Oryzias latipes: one gene and its partner. The protein of the gene in region 2 interacts with the protein of the main gene of each other region in a pairwise test. Links are inferred from orthologs where the notes say so. Each region holds a gene or a part of one and is shown on either strand. Other genes may lie near its edges.

Evidence for each region. The genes of interacting proteins can lie anywhere in the genome.
Region 1: the proteins of cib3 (region 2) and enox2 interact in binary tests that used the Homo sapiens proteins (3 or more experiments, as listed by UniProt). The two-hybrid records come from large-scale screens. The link is inferred for Oryzias latipes from reciprocal best matches to the Homo sapiens genes CIB3 and ENOX2.

What each region holds. Positions count from the first base shown.
Region 1 is NC_019868.2:7,970,278-7,974,296, reverse strand, and holds the start of enox2 (ecto-NOX disulfide-thiol exchanger 2), read right to left. Parts: upstream 2,835-4,019; 5' UTR 2,744-2,834; intron 1,903-2,743; 5' UTR 1,799-1,902; intron 244-1,798; 5' UTR 167-243; intron 1-166. UniProt on the Homo sapiens protein: May be involved in cell growth. Probably acts as a terminal oxidase of plasma electron transport from cytosolic NAD(P)H via hydroquinones to acceptors at the cell surface.
Region 2 is NC_019875.2:30,516,009-30,520,216, forward strand, and holds the start of cib3 (calcium and integrin-binding family member 3), read right to left. Parts: upstream 2,801-4,208; 5' UTR 2,460-2,800; coding exon 2,409-2,459; intron 1,917-2,408; coding exon 1,882-1,916; intron 1,705-1,881; coding exon 1,593-1,704; intron 1,292-1,592; coding exon 1,144-1,291; intron 818-1,143; coding exon 618-817; 3' UTR 1-617. Other genes in the region: bone morphogenetic protein 2-like, read right to left, coding at 3,548-3,966. UniProt on the Homo sapiens protein: Acts a an auxiliary subunit of the sensory mechanoelectrical transduction (MET) channel in hair cells. Plays a role in regulating hair cell MET channel localization and function.

The DNA.
Region 1 (4,019 bases), on a different chromosome or scaffold from region 2:
GCATGTATGTTTTACAAGATCTACCATCGGAATTTTCATGTCAAACTGTAGCAACAAAGCAACTGAGGTAGCATAGGGAACTAGAATATTCAGCTTTGGCTAAATGAGAAAAAGAGAGAAAATACAAACTTGCATGTTGGATGTATGTCAGTAGCATTTTGCTTACCTTTTTGTTTGAAGGAGGGCACAGGTCTCCCATTGGCCTCTACTTTTAACAGCATGATGCTAAACCAAAAACAGCATCTGGCGATCAGAGAAACCCAATATAATAATCAGCACAGGAACAACTGCAGAGTTTTATGCCTGCTCTATGATCGCACAGTATGGTTCCAGTTTTGTGTTCCTAGCATTTGTATTTACAAAAAGGAAAGTCAATTCAATCTGAAAATGCATAAATGATATACAGTAAAGTCCTAAAAGCATGTGTTTGCTGATGTTTATTGACAAGCACAACCGCCCTCTGTGCTGCTCAAGCTGAACTGGAGCTACACTAACAGTCAAATGGGTCTGGTCCAGCTCTAGTAGAAATAATGCACTTACACCTGGCTCACATTTTAAAATGAATAAAGGCCCTTTGGTGGCTCAGAGCTTGAGTGCCAGAGATGGCCCCCACAAGGGCCAGCACTAAAACAGCTGCTAGCTCAAAAGTGGTCCGAGGCTGACCCAGAAAAGTTTCAAAATGTCAACTTTATGTATGCTTTGAGCTTTGGAATAATCACTCGTGCCATTTTTGGCCCAGATTAAAAATACCTGAACAAAAAGACAAACAAGATTTATTTGAAACAAAAACCTTGTCTTAAGCAAACATATTACACAACAATAGAACGTTAATTACCAGTACACAGAAACAAAACTTTTTAACATGAAAGCCAAAGTTTCTTAGAGTTGAGAAAGTTTATGTAGAATATATTGTCAGGGCATTGGACACAGACTTCACTCATGCAATTTATCCAAGTTGTAGTTTGTAGCTCATCGCTGGTGTCTTTCTAAATAGAAATCCTTGTGAGAAAAAATTTGGAAGACAGACAGAACAATTAATAAATGTCTGGATTCAATTATTGGCTTTTCAGTGTAAATACAATCCTACATTAAACCACACTTGTCTTTGGAAAAGGCACCTGCTCCCTGTTAGAAACTTAGCAGCCAAATACAAACCTTCAGTGAACTGTGTTCAGCTTGCCAGGTCCAAAATAACATTGAAAGAAAAAAAACCACTACCAATAATTAATAATACTAACACTACTAATACTAATGACCGAATATTTTGACTTAATGCATTAAAAAGTTTGCTAGAAACAGAAGTAATGCTGCATAAGCATGTCACAAAACTAACAAAACTATTTTTGCTGCATCTTAATATTAGAAATAATATTAATCATTTGCTGTTCATTAAATCTAAAGCAACAGATATTTCTTTAGACAGACCTACATAATACTTTTCCGTTTATTTTTTATATTTTTTAAGTGACATCATCAGAAAATACTCTGTTCCATTTTAACTGTCTACATTAACTGACAGTAAAAATCTCCTGTATTTTATCAAATAGTTTAAAAAAAAAAACATCTGAAAAGGAAAGAGTTACAGATTTCTTCCACCCATGTTACCCTTTTAAAGAAATAAACCAGAATAACCGCAGACTCGGTTAGCACTTACAAAATACACTGGGCACTGATCTTTATGGTAAGTTTACCTTTAAACAGACATGGAAAACTGCACTCAGGCCTAAAAAGTTTTTATCTCAAGTGGTCTATTTTCCTTAAAAAATAGAATTTACCGGCTAAATTGAGACTAACTTACCTTAACGGGGCAGTGTAGCATGAGAACAATGTGGGAGGATGATGCAAGCTTCAGGTTAAAATCCCCAATAACACTTGAAAAAAGGTCGTTTTATGATCATCACCCTATTAACAGAAATCACAATCACTAAAATTACGTTAACTACATTTCCAACACTCAAACTGACAACAAAAATCGTGCACTCTTCAGTCACAAAAACCCAGAGTTAACTTTTATAACAGAGGGAGCGTGGGTGCTTAGCACTACGTCTGCTTTTTAATGTTAAAATGTTATTTATGAGGTTATTCTTGGTTTATTAAAAATGTATATAAATAAAAACTTTATGGTTGATCTGCAGGATAGTTGGAGTCTTACACATCAAAGGCAGAAAAACATTAAAAAGGCAAAAAAGTAGACCCACAGCTCGTCCATCATAATATAATGTAGCTGGTGCCATTGTATGCCACCTTAATCTGCCAGATCTGGTCCAGAAGTTTCTGCTGATCAGGACTGACTGCTTTGACAAATTAAGTAACTTAGTAACTTGTTTTCCAGCGTTTATTCATCATGTTCTCGTAAAAAAAAAAAAAAAAAAAAAAAAAAGAACAAAAACAGCCGAGAGAGTCTCTTGTTTTATGGCAAAGAGCACTGCAGCAGCAGAGAAGCAATAATTAACTCACAACAGATGCTAAAGCTGTCAAAACTCATCACAGCCTAAACCCTCTTTAGTTTTAAATACCCATGTCGCCTTTTGAGTTAAACACAGACCCACAGGATAACATTTTTTGTCATATTAAAAAAAATCTGAAATAAATTAACCTGATATATGTTTATAAACACGCAAAACCTTCTATGGTAACATGAGAGAAAAGTTGCCAGCCTCTATGCAATTAACGCCAGTTACTTTAAATTTGAATAAGTAAAGACCTCAACACATAAGTAGTACCTCCGAGTTGTAATACTCACATGGAAATGTCTTTTATAGCAGTAATTAGTGTTAAACTAACGCACGCGGACACGGCTCTTTCCTTCCTTCCGCTGTTGTTGCCGACTGGCGATCTGATTGGTTGAGAAGGTAACTAAGGGGAGCGTCAGCGTAGCAACAAGACCTATCAATCGGAGGCAAAGCCATCTACGGCAAGCGGAAGGTCCAAGCGTCACGTACTTTCAATGTTGTGAAACAAACGTTCGCGCACATTTTTTATTTACAATACTTGTTTATTTTTACTCACAAACTAATGAATCATTACATTCCTACGAATCTGTACTTTACTTGGGCCTTTTTAAAGTATATATAGAAAGATAGATAGAATTGTAATTCATTAAGATGGAAAAAATATTAATTGAATTGGAGTAATAAGACATTTAGTTAGATAAATATGTAAATTAGAGTTGTATAAACAATTATTGAGTTTTATAGACGTAAGAAATTAGGTTGAATACATTTAACTCAATCATTTGTTATCAATAGAAGTAATTCATTTAAGGTGGCAAAATTGGAAAAAGGTTTTATATATATATATATATATATATATATATATATATATATATGCGTCACAAGGAAAATGGAAATAAGATCAGAAACTCGTGCGTTTACTTTGTCTGTTCTTTTTCTATGAGCAGAAACTCTTTTGAGGATGCAGCCGTGTTACTTTTTTGATGGTCTTATAATCTTCATACGCCGTCTCACTGAAGTATAGCGCTCTCTTTTTTCTCCACGCGTTTCCATGGTGACTCCGGAAATCGGCGATCCATTGAGAATGTCCTTATGAACTTGACGAGCACGTGCATTAAGCCGGGGTTACCAAGTCGAGCGTAATTACACTAACTCATATCGGGTCTTTTGGAACCGACATACCCAGAGTAAGCAAGTTCAGGCGGATTTCAGCCAGAGTTCAGGGTTAAAGTCAGGGTAGTTTAAACATGCTTCCTGGAATACCCCCCTGGCTTGGTGACAGAAAATAAAATATTTAATAAACTAATTGAAACATGACAAAACTATTGGGAGAAACAAAACAGTGACACAACAGAGTAGATGAACTGACAAGGATGAATAGAAACAAAGACACTTAAATAGGCTGAGGGTTATTAACTGAACTGAAGACAGCTGTGGATCATGAACCTGAAACTGGAGTGACTGACAAAAAGAAAACCAAAAAACATGACCAAAACAAAACACCACAGAATTCTTACAGACGGGCATCCTTGATATCAACTAATAGCTCTGCATCTCACCTGTTTT
Region 2 (4,208 bases):
TTCCAACATCCATGCGTCCCCATTGTGAACATATCTCCACACGCGTGTCATTGCTTCATAGACTGAACATGATCATCTGCTTTGCTTCTGTGTAACACGAGGAGAGTTTGGGTCAGAGACTGTAAATATGTCCCAACACACCATGTTCTGTCTCAACCCGTCTAGAATGGATCTACGCTCTGTACAGACGTGTACTTTTGCTTTATTAAAAGAAGAAGATGAAAGCTGTGAGCGTTGTTTTCATTGAATGGACGTCGGCCCTCGTTTGCCCCCCAGGAGCTGCTCCGATGACCAGCGGCCCTCCCCTCGGCGCTGCATTGTGCGCTGCTGCTTCTTTATATTTGTGTAACCAAACCCCTTCAGATATGAAAGGAATCTGCTGCCGATCGTCATAATTAATGAGCCGGGTCCTGGTGGGACGGCCGATGGACCGCGGCTCCGTCCGGCGGCGGGTCAGGGTTTGGGACGACTACTTTCTACAGACCAGATGGTGAAAAACAGTTTTCAGACAAACGTTCTGGCTCCTCAGATCCGAATGTGGAAGGTGCTGTGGAGAGACCAGAACCGGATCAGAACAGGCTTTAATGGAGCAGCGTCGATCCACACGACGCCTGAGCTCACCTGAGGAAGTCTGGAGCCCTGACGATCATGTGCTGGAAGTCCTCCAACGAGAGGCGGCCGTCGTTGTCCAGGTCCGCCTCGTCCATCACCTTCTCGCACACCATCTTCACCTCGTCCTCGCCCAGCTCGCCGCGGGTCAGCTTGGTCAGCGTCTTCTCCAGGTCCGACTTGCAGAGGAAGTCGTCGTTGTTGAAGTCTTTGGGGAAGAATCAAACGTTTGTTTCATAGCTTTGGGGTCAGAAACGAGCCGCTAAAACATTCAGATATGTTCTGGACATACCTGATCCAGGTGATCAGCTGCCAGTGGGGCATTAATGCAGACCCCCGAGGCCTCGGGGGTCTGCATTAATGCCCCACTGGCAGCTGATCACCTGGACACACCTGATCCGGCTTTAGGGGCCGTACTTGGTGGTTTTCAGGTCTGAATCCGTTAAATTTGCCCCTAATGTTCAACTGAAAACCAAAAGAATCTGGAAGAGGTTTGAAGGGACGTCTCCAGACGAGCGTCAGAAAAGTCTTTACCGTAGATCTTGAAAGCGTAGTAGGCCTTCAGGTCCCGAGGCGCCATCTCGCTGAGAACGGAGAACATGTCCAGGAAGTCGTCCAGCGACATGTTTCCTTCTCCATCCTCAGAGAAAACCTCCGCAATCCTCTGACGAAACGGGTTGTCCTGGACCGAACCGACACCAGAGACGGTCTGGTTAACAAAGCGTTTCACAGGTCGAAGGACGGAAAGGCTCGGATGGAGGTTGGGTCTCTGGACTCTGAGCGGCCACACCTGTTCACCTGACTTTACCTGAGAGCTGCACAACTGACCTGCCCTCTGGAACCCACCGGCATTCTTCAAGTTTAAGGGAGTCATGTAACGGATAACCTTTCAAAGAATTCTGTCGATTAGCTGCTCGTGCATTATGGATGGGGATGGGGACGGGGGCGGGCGGGGGGTGGCAGAGCGGCGGCGGCGGCTCTACCTTCAGCTCGGGCATGCTGCCAATCAGCTCATATGGTAGCTTCACATCTGGCTCCTTGGTGTAGTCGAGAGGAACGAGCTGTGGGGCCAGATCCCGGTACCGGTAGAACAATCTAGAGAGAACATAGAAAGAATTTCAAAATAAATGTTTCCAGACTTGTATTTTGAAAGGACAGCCAGTGAAGCTGATTTGAAGACAAAAAACAGTCTCAATAGCAGGATGGTGTTTAAAAGTTACAGCATTCAAGACAAAACCAACAGAAATAAGATGCAGACATGTGAAGGCTCACCTGAGAATCTCTTTCCTGGTGAAATATGTGCAGTCCTGCTGAGAGACCAGGACAGGTTAGCAGACCCCACAGACCCTGCAGCCCTGAACGTCTTCATCAAACATTTATTTCTCATCATCTTCAACCTTCCTGCTGCTAAAGTTAGGTTGGAGTCATCAGCAGCACAGTTCAGATTTGTTTTTGTGGTGGTTTACCTTCCTAAGGTGTTCAGCGTTTGAGACGCCGGGACACGCCCACATGTACGCATATGTATACTGGCTTTAATCTGCTTCTATTGTTGTTTTTATTCTGATGATGCTAACGCACCATTGAATGTACTCTATTCTATTCTGTCGGGTCCTGTTGTCAAACAGTCTGGAATGAAACAGGAGCAGAATAATTCCTGATGAGTCAAATCTGATGTTCAGAGAACCTGCAGGATCCAGAATCCAGAACTTCTATGTCCTGAATGTCCTGAAGTTGTTTAATGACAACGCTGAGGAGGTCTTCAAAGACACGAGGAAGTCTTCAGGAGGTGTTCCACCCACCTGGTAGGCATCCAGCTGCTGTGCCGTGAAGATGCTCTGCTTACTTCCCATCCTGGAGCAGCAGGTCCATGGCTGCAGCCTGGAGGGCTTTTTATGGAGGGCAGTTCAGATATGAAATCCTGGCACAAAAGGAGGCCGGAGCCAAAGAGGAGATCGGGTGTCGGGTCGCAGCCGGGCCCTTTGGTTGCCACTATAATGGCAGCAGTTTATGGTTCTGTGTGCTGAATAGGAGCCCGTGTGGCAGTGAATGAGGGCTGTCGTCGAGCACCGTGCCAAGTGGTTTCAACCCTTTAGTGCCACGGCACGGCCAACGCCTCGCTCCCCGATCAGGTTACCATCCTCTCTGACGGCCTGCTGGGACGACTTTTTGCAGAGAAACGGTTTATTGCATCTGATCAATGCAAACGGCGAATGTTTGAGGGACGCGGAGACCTGACCTGAACCCCCCCACACACACACACAGAGGGAAACTCAATGAGCGTCCTAAGTGTGTTTGTCTGATGGGTGTGCTTGTGAATCAAGAACGCGGTTCTGCTGAAGTTCGGCTGACAAGAGGTCAAAAGTCACCGAGACGACGGTTCAGATTCACTTTCTATTCAACTTTATTGCAAAGAAAAACTTTTAGTCAAAGTAAATTTAAAAAATGTCTTTAAACTTTTTATTCAGACAGCTTCACCTGCCCCTCTGAAGGTAACTTTGACCTCCTCACCTGCACCAGGTGACTGACTGGCTCTGTCCTCTCAGAGCACAGCGGCGCCCTCTGCTGGGGGAACCTGGCAACAGCAGGCTCCCAACAATTATTCACCTGAATGAATAATACTTTTGTACATGGTATGAATCATAATTCAGTTTACTAATGCATTTTTTAAATTGTTTAAAGTTTATCATGTTTATCATTTGAGCGGATTTTTTAAAATAACAAAAAAAACATTCTGTCATTTGACCTTTATTCAAACTACAATCCCACTCAGCAGAAAACACAATATACACATTTACATTTGTGTAAATAACACATCTGTCATAAACATATATTAATATTTATGAATATTTACATATTTTACAATCTTTGCTCAGGTTTGCCTGTTAGTGCGGCCTCAGAGTGATGCTGGCTGTGTGCGTGTGCACGTGCGCGCTCATGGTCAGTGGCAGCCGCAGCTCCCAGCCACCATGTCGTTGTACTGCTTCAGCACCACGTTCTCGTCATCATCAAAGTACAGCAGGTTGATGGAGTGCAGTTTGTCCGGCACACAGCACGGCGTCTCGATGCCTCGGACCAGCTTCAGGGCGTTGATGATGGACTGGACGGTGGCGTGGTTGGTGGGCCTCATGTTCTGACCCAGAGGGAACGGGCAGGAGCCTTTGCAGTGGTAGGCGTTGTAGCCCCTCGGCGACACAATCCAGCCCGACCAGCCGATCTCCTCGAAGTCCACGTAGAGGGGCAAGCGCTGGCAGGGCTTGGGCACGCCGTGGTCCTCGCTGTAGTCCACCGAGCGGGCGGAGCGAGAAGACGGAGAGGACATGGGGAACTGGGGGAGGGTGGAGGTGGACTCCCCAGAGTCTGAGGGAGGAACCGAGACGTCAAACGTGTTAATCTCTACAGGAGGACGGTGTGAGCAGGCATCATGACCGTAAATCAGAACTTATTGGTTTTAGGTTCCGTTGGAATCACTGCACCCTTAACCCATGGGCCATCTTGTGGGGTCCAGATGACCCCACTCCCAACGTTAACGTGCCTTGGATAGCACAAGGGTTAAAACACTCGGGTTATTCCTTCACCCCAGTCTTTGGGTTAACCTTTAT